Drosophila melanogaster: one gene and its partner. The protein of the gene in region 2 interacts with the protein of the main gene of each other region in a biochemical or structural test. Each region holds a gene or a part of one and is shown on either strand. Other genes may lie near its edges.

Region 1 (4,540 bases), 7.4 Mb from region 2:
TGGATTAAATATATGCCATTCTGACAATGTGTTCAGTTTTATATATTAAAATTGTATCTTTTCAAATGTCATGATTTGTTGATTAAGCTGAAGTTTTCAACAAATAAAAATAAAAATGAAAGCACATTCAAATTACCAAATCACTTGCAACCGTATTATTTATTATTCCGTATAAATGATCGTTTTTAAATACCAGGTAAAATGCAAGTTCAAGTCATTGGTCTTTTAAGGATCAGGAGTAGAATAACACATTCATTTAATACATTGTTTTGTATGCTTATATATATAATATAGTTTATAATGTTCACAAATCCGGCTGCCTTATCCTTTGCACTTTTTCATGATTTTTGACGTGCTCCTTTAGCAGACGCATTATTTCGGTATCGAATTGAGGAGGTGTTGGCTTGGTATCGGTGGCCCAGTAGAATATATCCCAGTCGTTGCTGACACCATTGATCAACTGATCGTACTCGGCGGTCTGCTCGGCATTGAAGTCCTTCAAATGCTTGGCCACAAAAGTGCTCAGCAAGAGATCGTTTTCCAGCATTCCGCGTTTCCTGCTTTGATACAAAAGGCTGCACAAGATAATGAATGATCATAAGTAGGAGTTTGGGATATTTTCATTTTAAGCGTATACCGCTGCTTGCGAGTTTCCAGCGGCTCATCGGGACGGACAGGATATTCCGGAACTGGCAAATGCGGCGGATCATCGTAGTCCACAATTTCCCCGGGTGTTGTGTACTCAGTTTTGTCCAAATTGCTGGCGAGGCGACTTTGGGCCATCATAGGTAGTTGCAGGCGACGGCCTACCGTAGATACCTGTGTCCAATTAAGCAATCAATTATATTTTACTACATTTGGGGCCATAAACTTACTATAAATTGCCGCAACATTTTAGGAAACGACCAAAACAATGATATAACGACAGTGTTGGCTAAGAAAGTTAAGTATAATCGATAGATTCCTGCTATAATAATCGGCTGTTGCTATAAATAGTGCTGGAAAGTGCACACTTTGTTGAATTAATCATTTATTTTATTTAACCGTTCAAACCTCAGGCGAATTTAAATTAAAATAGTTGTTTTATTTTAAATATGAATATATTTGGGAGAATATGCACTGCAATTGTTATGAAAGGTATGCGAATTTTTAATAATTATTTGCAATAATATAAATAAAAAATATATCTCTATTTGTATCACTTAAAGCTCAAATATTGTATTCATGAGATCCTTTTGAGTGGCCTGCTATTTAAAATCCAGATAAGTTTCAAAACATAATAAAAAAATAAATGTCTGTACATACAAAGTGATGCAAAATATTTATTGAAACTAAAGTGAGCATGTTCTTTCATATTTATATAAAACATTTTATTAAATTATATGTATATAAATAGCGGAAGATTTTAACAAATTTAAATTTTTAAATATAAGCTTGTTTTGCAGCAGCTGTTGTTGCGGCCAGTGCTGGTCAACAGCCACCCCCGCCGCGTCCAGTGCTGCGCACCGACGCCGCCAACAGCTGTTCGAACGCCTCGCTCTGCAGTTGGAAAGAGCGAACGAAGCGAGAGAGAGCAGCTAAATTTTCGCACACCAGAAAAGTGCAATTTACCAATATCACTGCGGCCAAAAATACAAGTGCAAGTGCTCGGCAAGTGCAACGGTAAACTATCACGATCGGTGCAATAAATACAGCGAGTCGCGAAAAAGAAGCGCAAAGCGAACGGAACCAATAAGAACAGCCAAACGCAAAAGAGAGCCTCCTGCACACACACGCACACAGCAGGCTGAAGCAGACCCACACACACGCATACACTAGTGCGGTGTGTATACGACTGGAAAACTAGGCGGTGGTAAATGTGAAGCTGAAAAAAGCTGAAAAAAAGGAAAAGGAAAACTCGTGGGGTGGTGGGTGGCGGCCCAGTGGGCGGGGGGTGTGGCGTGTGCAGCGCGTGAGAGTGCGTAGTGCGTGCGTGTGAGTGAGTGAGTGTGTGCGCGCGTGTGAGTGAAACAGCGACAAACTAAATGAAAATTTATACATCCGAAATGGTTAACAGTTTGCATAAAAACGGCATTACTTTTTGCATATGTTAATGTGCTTAGGCAAACGCTCGAAAAAGAAAACTCCACAACCCACCGCCTTTTTTTCCACCAACCCGGCGCTTTTTTAGCGCCTACGCCCACGCTTAATACATACACACTGCATAAAAAACATACAAATAAAACCAAAAAAAAAAAAAAACAAACAAAATTTATAAAAGTTTTATTAAAAGTGTGACAACAAAAAATAAGTGGTATCCAAAAAATAAGCTTGAGTTTTTGGCTCTTTGACCTCGAGACTAATTCACTTACATGATAAATTACCATCGTTCTTATCGCGATCCAGCATTATCTGATGGATTTATCTTATCAGCGCGATTGATGAATTTTGTATCGATATCGCAAACATGCTCCATATGCAAATTAGCTGGCTATCATTGCTTTTATTTTTACTTTGCGTCTGCTGATAAAAAACAAAAGCAACATAATTGATACAGTGCGCGGCCCATTGCACAGACAGTGGCGGTCATAAAATTAGTGCTTGTCTCAGTACAGTACAACATCCATAGAGCGAACGATGTGTTCCATAAACCTTGTAACATCAGTTTAAAATAATCTTTTTAACTATTACATACAAATTAATATACAGCTGTGTTTCTCATAATAGTTGAGTAACAGAAAGAATATTACAATTACAATTACAATTTGTGTTTATACACAGCAGACAAAATTAATTTAAGATAACTCAACATTATTATTTTGAACTCGGCTGTATATTTAACACATCCTTGATATTCATTGGTTCGCCTTATCGATCGCGCACTGTTTATAGTGAATCATCCGCTGACCCGTGTATTTGTTATTGTTGATGGGTTCAATACTCCATTTCAGTTGAAATCGTTAAACTGTACATAAGCAAATAAGACATAAAGAAAAAAGTCCAGGAAAATTGGAAAACAAAAGCCCGAAAACCGAAAAGCCCCGTGTAAATCCGAATCCGAATCCAAATCAGTATCCAAACCCAACCACAATGGGCTGCACCACATCCGCCGAAGAACGCGCCGCCATCCAGCGATCCAAACAGATCGAGAAGAATCTAAAGGAGGATGGAATCCAGGCGGCCAAGGACATCAAGCTCCTGCTGCTGGGTAAGTGCACTTTTCGTCGCTTTTTCTCGTTTTTCCACTTGGGTTTTTCTCACCGGAAATGGAAATCCTGCTCAGCGTTTACCTTTCCACTCGACTCGACTCTATTGTTCGTTCTATTTTGGTGGAAATTGCTGGTTTATCTATCGGCCGCCAGATTCCGGGGCACTTGGAAAATTTTATTTTCGGTTTTATGTGCCGATAGATAGGGGGATATTTATTGCACACACTTTTACTCTGCGGCGGAAATGCTGGATGTACTGGACGCAATTTTGGATTAGCTGCTCTTCAATTTCCATCAAGGCTTATATCAGAGTTCACATTTTTTAGAAGATTCAAAGACTGGAATAAAAGTAAATTCAAAAACTATGATTTTTGTATGTACTGACTGGTTATTTAAATTAAATGTAATGACTTGTTGCCCCACAAAAGGAATCGAACTCAAGGTTATTCCACTCTATTTGAGTGCTGATGAATCGATTCCATGACAAAACTATTTTTAGCGTGTTTTTTTTGGCCAAGGCGAAACCGAAGTAATTTGGGTCAACTTTTGGGTGTTGCATGTGGCATGGATATCCGAAAATAAAATGGACTCATGCACCACTGTGCATGCAACATCTTAGACAATGGCAGCAGCAACAGTTGCATCCGCCCTCGTGGCAGGCGAGTGTGAAAACCTAAACAGTTTCGAGGAGCCATGTGGCCTGCGGATGACTCGGTCCGATTAAAGTGGTTTCAGTACCAAACAGTTCGATAGTGATGAAATAATTACAATGTTTTTAAAAAATATATAAAATAATGACTAGAATTAGCCAAATCTAAGAAAACAGTGCAAATTATCTGAACATAGCTTAAGAATTTAAAGATGCTAAAAAATCATCATGTAGATATTGTCTTTGCTGTCATCTCTATCCTGCATCAGCCTGAATCTCATCGTCGAGTGCATCTGTGAGCTGCAGCTGCAGCCTTAGCCTTAGCCTTAGATTTTGTCCAAGTGCGTCTGCATCCGCCAAAAGATGAGGGCAATCGACGCCACTTGACATTGAAACAATTGCACGTGTGTGCCAGTGGGCGGGTGTGCACCATGTAGCATGGTTTCGAGGTGCAGTGTTTGTTAACCTGGTTGCGCCACTGACACCGAAATGTCAGTTAATCCCATTGACTTTGACTTGCCCCCGAAAACGAGATAGGGATGCAGTCAGGCAGAAAAAGGACAAAGCTGCAATATGCACGGGAATTTCTCTTTCACTTTAACATTGTACACAAACATGTTGCGAAAAACAAGCAAAATCTCCATATCGTGGATGCACTTAAAGCAGCATTCAAACAAACCAAAAGTTAAAGATATAAAGTTTA
Region 2 (7,743 bases):
CCGAAATACAAATATTGTTCAAATACTGAGGCTTCTCCTCAATCCAATTTGCATTTGATTTTTAGTCTTAAGCTGAGATCCAAAGAATAAAGTCGTGAAACTATTTCTCCTAAAAACTATTTTTTATTTCTTGGCGTTGTCCTTAGTCAACTGACGGGACATTAGTTCGACTCATAAATAAAACAACAATTTTACTATATATATATATATATATATATATGCTGGTGTGTTGTATATATAAGTTTATAAAGTTTATGTATGTAATACGTTTAAAAAGATTTTTTGGTTTCTTTCCTTCTTTTTTTTGTAATGTTTTTTTGGAAAAAGTATTTCTGTTACGTTGCGGTTTATGATTACGTTTAAACATACTTATCAGTTAGCGGGTTCCGTAATCTTGGTTTCAATTTGATTAATACGTCTCTTAGATCACTAGTATTACAATGGATGCTATTTGTGTCGCTCGTTTCGTATTAGCTTTCTGGGTATTTTTTTCTTGTTGTTTTTCTTTCTGTTTTTTTGTTTTTTTTTGGTTGTTTTGGAAAATGCTTTCTGTGGTCGAACCTGCTTCTTAGTGAAAACATATTTTGTAATACCTAACTCTTTGGTTAGCTAACGACTAGAACGTAGGAAGAGAAAGGAATCCGATTCACATTGAACGCACGACGTCTGATTCACCGGCCCCAACCAGGATCCTGATTTCGTGGCTGCTCGCAAAATGGTTAAATGGTTCTACTAATGGATACATATTGCTTAGTCGATTGCAGCAGCGATTGGGGCGGAAAATCAGAGATATACCAGTGGAGAGCAACAGCGGAAGTCAACACAGCGCAACTGAATTCGATCCAAATCCAAATCCAAATCCGATCCGGGACATCAAGCCATCCTCTCTAAGTTGGACTATCCGCTTTGGAACCGGCATTCGAGTTGTCTTGCAGTTGAGCTAGTGTCTTGAACTTTTGAGAGTTTAGGAATCTGTTGAAAAAGATACCCCGTTTAAGTATAAATACAGTATCTTTTATTTTTGCCTAAAGAGCACTCACCTCGGATATGAGTCTCTGTGCATCAGTGTGTAGATCTGGATTTGAGCTTCGTCGAAGGTGTGCGTCGTGGGCTCGATCATGTTCCGGTTGACAATCTCGCGGACCCTGGAGTCCAGCGACACCTCCCTGGGCGACAGGATCGAGATGTAGTCCTCGTAGATGAGGCGCGCCTTCTCCTCCACCAACTCTGGGCTATTCTCCTTCTTGAGATCCTCGCAGGCCAGCCAGAATAGGATGTTCTCCTCACTGAATTCGCTGCGCAGGAAGTTCTGGAACACCTTTCGACCAGCTGGGAAAATATTCGGCCAACCACCAATTAGTTTGGATCAAGGTGGCAATTGTCAATGGCTTACCTGTACTTTTCATCAGCTTGTCAAAGCTTTTGCCCCAGCTGCGGATTTCCTCCAGTGTGGGTCTGTAATGTACAAATAAATGTAGTTTTTCCGTGGCTTAAGTTTATTAAGTTGATTGGTGCTCAAACTCACTGCTCGCCATCCAAGAATTCGGCATTTACCAGATCTCGCTTCGTGGGGGCATTTTCATCGGCATTCTTGATGGCCAGACTGTAAAGATAAGAAAAAAGGGAAAAAACAAGGGGGGTTTGCTTGTTAAAAGTCGATTATTTTGATTTTACAACTCATCAATCACCCTTTAAAGTATACTACAATTTTATTCATCGCTGAATTGGCGCTCAGCCTGACTCATTTTTAACTGGCACAAAATAGCATAAATATGTAAGTACAGTAGCCGCTCGATAACGTAAACTTTTAGATAGCGCAAGCTACTGATTAGCATTTTATAAAACACTTGCACCAAACATAGAAACTGAACATAAGCGATTCTACCACATTTTAAGCTAGAGAGTTTAAAAGTTACTCATATATCTGAACGCGATATAAAGATATAATGCCTCGAATAAACACTGTAGATAGGCTAATGGCATATCGGTTTTGGGTTTCGAAGCCCGGAGACAGAGCAACGGAGTACTCGAACTTGACATAAAGCTCTCTTATCTGGACGACAGTTATCAGAGCGACTCGCTGGCCCAATACCTAATCAAAGTCACACAGGCGTACATATACCCCTATACATATATGAATCAAATTAGATGCGGCCAGGGGGGGTTTGAGGCGACATCGGGTGCTCTGAACTGGGTTTTCGGGGCGATATACCCCCAAGTTGTGCACACAAAGGTGCGGACGGGGGGTTGCGAGTTGGCGGCGGGTCGCAAAAGACTTTCGTTTTCATTCACGAAAACATGCAACACTTGGAGGAGTCCGCGGAGGAGCCGCCACATACTTATTTATATTTGATTTGAAAAGTGCCCTCCAGAGAGCTTTTCGCTGCCCGTCGCCTTGCTCACGGAATTGTGAATGAATGCGGGAGAAACTGAGAGAGCGGCACCAGTGCTAAAGAGCGTTTCGTAAGAGAGAAAGCGGAGAAAGTTCGCATGGCGGAGAGAGAAAGAGCTTTTGGATGTTCAGCAGCGTTGCCAGCTGCCAGCAGAAGGCCACCTTTACCGTGTCCATTTCCATTTCAACTTCCCTATCCATATCCATATCCATATCCATGTCAGTGGGCACAGCCATAGCCGAAGCCAAAGCCAAAGCCAAGCAATAGTTAAAGCCAAAGCAATAACCATAGCTGTAACCGTGGCCACATCCATGACAGCACTGCGAGAAACATGGACTAATAATATTTCGACTCTCTTAAAAAAAGGGCTCAAACAGACAACCTTTAAAATGAAATGATTTATAAAATAAAAAAATAAAAAATTTGCAAAAAATTGATATTGAAATAAGTAAAAATAAATAAATTAATTAACAATAACGATGTTAATGTAACCAAAGATTGGTTCATCTGTTATAGTATATCTTGAAAATAAAGCTAACTAGGTAAAATAATTACGTATTTAAAATAATTGCGCATTTAATATTCTATACTTTACAGTCCAATAATACCAATCGATTCTCTCGGTGTATGAATGCATGAGTGTTTCAGGAGGTGCTTACCATTTGGCCCTGTTGTCAGGATGTGGTTGGCAGTGGATGGGTATTGGCACAGGTAGTTGTTTTAATGACCGAACGGTTGAGTCAAGGCAGCGCGGTAACGAGAAAGAAATTGATTTCGTGTCAGAGGATTCGAGCGGTGCACAAATAGGCCACTCGGTGGTGGCCTCCATACTCACCAGGAGCAGGAGCAGCAGCAGCACCAGCAGAAGCAGCAAGGCTTCTGCGACTGCGGACGCTGAAACGTGGTCGCGTTCGACTCCTGCAGCACGTTGGACGTGGAGCCGAGGATTCCCACGCTGCCGCCCACGGTGGGCGATACTCCGCCCAGGCTGCCGCCACCTCCGACGACGCCCCCGCCGCCACCGTTCCCATTGCCATTCCCATTGTTGCCACTATTGTTGGCGGCACTTTGCTGTGAGGATGCAGTCATGCCGCGCAATCGACAGCCACTGGGCAGCTCGGAAACGGTGCAGGACATGCCGCTACCTGCAATAAAGGAACAAATTGAAACGTTAATGAACACTGTGCACGGGATGGAGTGGGGGGAAAGTGTGCTGACAGTTGGGCGAATCACAGTCACACTGCAAAAAATAGCTCTATTAGTCATCTAGAAAGAATTGTTAACCAAGGTGCCCGGAACTTAACTACTTAATTGTCTTGGCTGGTGAGTGTTTGTCTTTTTGGTTTGGATCCCATTAATTTGACAAGATGTCATTCAAAAGATACTGAAACTGATTCATTATATTATAAATATTATTATAAATATTATATTTATATTATAAACATTATATTCATAAATATGTTATTTGAATCTAGTCAAAACACCTTTTAAATAAAATTGTAATATTTGTTCTTTGCATTTATCACAAAGAAACTTTATATGAAATTAAAGATTAAATAGTAAAGAAAACTGTTGAATTATTAAAACATTGATTGTTTGTATATTTAATTTACCAAAACTATCAAAATATAATAAATACATATTCGGGAAAGTGTAATCTGGAGGAGTAGGTCCAACTGCTCCCGATTCGCCTCGTTTTCCGTGTGCACTTACCTGCCCTTTGAAAGTTGAGGTTGACGCTGGCGGAGCTGACGGAGATGGTGGAGGTGGAGATGGTGATGGGTGTTGGGTGGTGAGGTGGTGCTGCCCCAGCTGGCGGACCGCCCACTGCCACTGACCTACCCACTCACCCGCTCGCTTTGGTGCTCTTTTCTTTGCTTCGGCTTCTCTTTCTCGGCTTCCTTGGGGATGTGGGGTATGCAGGGAGACCGTTACGTATTTATGTTTTTGCTAATAATTTTTTATCGAAAGTTCCCACACACTCTCTCTCTCTCTCTCTCTCTCCCTGTGGCGCTCTGTCCTCTCTTTCTCGCTCTGCCCACAGCTGCTGCTCTTGATTTTAGTTTTCGTTTTGTTTTATGTTTTTTTTCCTTCTCCTTAGCTTTTCCTTGGGCGATTTTACAAGCCGAAAAATTCCAGAAATTCTTCAAGATTTTTTCGATAACCTTTTCGAGTAGTAGTTATCCTTATCGTAGGTTCCTGACTTCAAACCTTCGCGTGGGTTTGGTTTCCGTTTTTTTTTCTAGGGGGTCTAGCGTTTCTTTAGAGAGTTGACGGTGCGCGGGTGGCATTTACATATTCCGCTCCGGATTTACGGGCGAAAATCTAGCGATTCAATGGCCCCGTGCACCAAGGGGCACATTTCACAAGCGTTACGAAATTTATGAGCAGCTGGAGCTGCCACCGTAGTTGTTGTTCTGGCCTTTATTTATTTCTTGTGCTAGTCATTACACTGCCATTGTATATGTACATATATATGTAGGCGCCGTTGTGTGCGTGCGTCTGTGCGTGTGTGCGTGAGGAGGGGGTGGGCTGGAGTACCACCACATTGACACGCAACTTGGCTAAGTGGAGCGCATTGTTTGGCCCGTTGGGCGGATGGGGCGTATGCGTGATTTTCTCCACTTGTGCTGATGTTGCTGCAACAGCTGCAACATGTAGGCATCAGCAGCTAATTGCACTTGTTTGTAACTCGAAACGCCAGCGATTTTTGGTCGTTGCACTTATCACAAATCAGCTGCTTGGGTTCTTTTGTTGACCATTGCCTTTAGCCTGGCTATCTATGTATATTATATGTATATTTTGTTTTATTTTCTTGTTGTTGAACCAGCGCTTCCGTTCAGATTTTCACTCAAACACCACACACACGTTTATATTTTCTTTGAGGATTTTTGGGCGAATGGGTGGGCGGGAAAAGGGGGTCGCGTTTGTATGTATGTATGTTTTTGAGGAGCAGCGACGAGTACATACGAATTTTTGCCACTAGAATCGGAATCGAAATGTGTATATTTGTATATATTTTTCTTTTTCGCCCCGAAATTGTTTTGCTTGTGCTTCGATTTTTTTTTTGTGAATTTCTTTACGATTTTTTTCGTTGACTGTTGAGAATGTGTGTGTGTGTATGAATACGAATTGGGGGAAACTGCAATTTTCGTGGTCACTGGACTGCCTGGACTGGCATTTTCACATTTTCACATTTCGCCCTCGGCCATATTTTATTATATTCCTTCGTGCTCGGTGCCCCCGCAATGGCAGCCAATTCCCATTCGATTTCTGCGCTCTGCGATTTTGGCTGCTCAGCACCAGCAGCACCCAGAAGCTGAAGCCAAAATCCTCGACGGGTCGATTCGAGCGTTTCGAGATTCTCTCCGCTCGGGCAAAGGCAGGCGACTGATTTCCAAGCAGTGCCGTGTCGCCAGCTCTTGATTTTGATTTTCCAATGCGCGCGCTCCTCCCGAGGAACGCAAGATAACGGCGAGTGGAAAGTGGGCAGCCGGGGGAGGGCTCCATAGGTGGACTGAGCGAAAAGCTTTGTGGAATTGCTATACAGTTAGAATTCCTGGTACACACAGGAGAGGGACTGACAGGCGGAGAGCGCGAGAGAACGGACGGTAAGACATGTGCGCGAGTCGGAAAAAGAGAATAAAGCTCGGGACTCTTCGCCCCACTGGAATTTACCGCAAAGCTTTGGGGCCAGAACTTATAAACTTTCGGCAGGGTTGCACTTACATTTTGATTTTGGGATCCCGTTGATTTCGAAAACCGTTGTTTTTAAAATGTTCGAATGAAATGGTTATATGAAATACTTTACTTTTCATAAAAATTAATATATTTTTTATTTACTATTGAAATTTCACAAAACTTTCGGAAACTAAAAGAAACTTTCTTGGGGTTTGTACACCTAAATTACGTGTATAGTCGGATGGTACTGTCCGCGCCCGTGGAGAAGACCCATGGCTGCACCGGATGCCAGTTAACATCCAGCACACCAAACTCATCGCGTTTCTCGTGTGTTTGCAGCTTCTTGAGAGGCACAATCAAAGGGTTTTGCAGCAGGTCACTAAAAAAAAGTTTGGAGAAATTCGTAATTAACCTTGGGCAATGTTGATTTATAGCCACTTACTTATAGACCATGCCATGGGAGACGATCACAGCCTGGTCATCGCTGCCGGAAGCAAAGAGCGGATATCGAAGATGGAAAGCAACACTGCGAACTGCATTGCGATGGAGTCGCATGGTCTGGTAGGGCTTTGTGGACAGATCCAAATCGAACCAGAGCATCTTTTTGTCATAGGTGGACACCAGCAGATTGTCGCCCTTGGGATGAATAGACATGCCCGATATCCATTTGGAGTTGGTCAGCAGCTTCTTGACAAGCTCTTGTTTGACCAGATCATAAATGCGAATGTTGTGTTGCGTCTGTAAAGAAAAAACAGAATTCAATAAGACATACTAACAAAAGAAAATTAACCCACTTACCGCCACAAAGAAGCAGGGCTTCACCGGATGGAAGAGCACGAATTGGATGAGACCCTTGCTCTTGGAGAATGGAATCTGTGAGCGCCGCTTGGACAACTGATGAATTAAAGCCGAGCGGTTAGCACCTTCGGGCATCACTGTGGCCAAGTAGTCACCACGACCGTGCCAGGTCACCTGTCGGATGGGTTTGAAGTGGGTAATCACTACGCGGACGCCCTTCTCCTGCTCATCAGCTTCCGCATTTGACCATTGCACCGCCGTCTTGATGCGTTCACTTTCAATGACATCCTGACTGGGCGCCTCAGCCAAGAGATCGTCGGTCTTCTTCACCAGCACCTTATCGCCCACTTTAGGATTGACGAGCAGCAAGCGATTGCCAGTGGCCACCGCAATAATAGACAGCTTGGGATTTGGACACCAAGCCACACAGCGTACCACTTCGTCGGTCTCGATTGTGCGAATGCAACGACCTGTTGCAATTTCCCAAACTGTGAGGTGAGATGGATTAGTAAGAAGATATCTAAAAGGTTGTCAATTAAATTAGTACTTACTCTTGACGGTTTTATCATCCGAACCGGAGACGAGGTACTCTCCCTTGGGCTCCACACTAACAGACCGCACCAGATCGGTGTGGCCACGGTAAACCATACTCTCCACCGTGGGAAAGGGTTGCAGGTCACGCGGCGAGGGCAACTTGGGGATAAGGTACTCGGCATCGATGTTCAGCTTGACACGCTTTGCACGGGGACACAGGTAAAGATCCAGGCAACGAAGGAAACGCTCCCGAAGGTATCTCGAGTATGCGGGCACCTCCCTCAGCGACTTGAACTTCTGTGGCATGAAGTGCAGCTTGCGCTTGTGTGGCTCGTCC

What was found. The genes of interacting proteins can lie anywhere in the genome.
Region 1: of the proteins of Dhit (region 2) and Galphao, one has a biochemical effect on the other in vitro, tested with the Drosophila melanogaster proteins (one study listed by BioGRID).

The regions. Positions count from the first base shown.
Region 1 is NT_033778.4:10,436,445-10,440,984, forward strand, and holds the start of Galphao (G protein alpha subunit o), read left to right. Parts: upstream 1-1,540; 5' UTR 1,541-1,662; intron 1,663-1,803; exon of another isoform or gene 1,804-1,907; intron 1,908-2,026; exon of another isoform or gene 2,027-2,048; intron 2,049-2,161; exon of another isoform or gene 2,162-2,293; intron 2,294-2,926; exon of another isoform or gene 2,927-2,930; 5' UTR 2,931-3,001; exon of another isoform or gene 3,002-3,069; coding exon of another isoform or gene 3,070-3,187; intron 3,188-4,540. Other genes in the region: CG12895 (uncharacterized protein), read right to left, coding at 305-575, 638-819, 876-893. UniProt on the Drosophila melanogaster protein: Guanine nucleotide-binding proteins (G proteins) are involved as modulators or transducers in various transmembrane signaling systems.
Region 2 is NT_033778.4:17,790,914-17,798,656, reverse strand, and holds Dhit (double hit), read right to left. Parts: upstream 5,788-7,743; 5' UTR 4,107-5,787; intron 3,539-4,106; 5' UTR 3,531-3,538; coding exon 3,229-3,530; intron 3,062-3,228; coding exon 3,053-3,061; intron 2,772-3,052; exon of another isoform or gene 1,604-2,771; coding exon 1,526-1,603; exon of another isoform or gene 1,456-1,525; coding exon 1,394-1,455; exon of another isoform or gene 1,330-1,393; coding exon 1,041-1,329; exon of another isoform or gene 973-1,040; coding exon 888-972; 3' UTR 529-887; downstream 1-528. Other genes in the region: CG5033 (uncharacterized protein), read right to left, coding at 6,300-6,453, 6,517-6,812, 6,873-7,360, 7,424-7,743.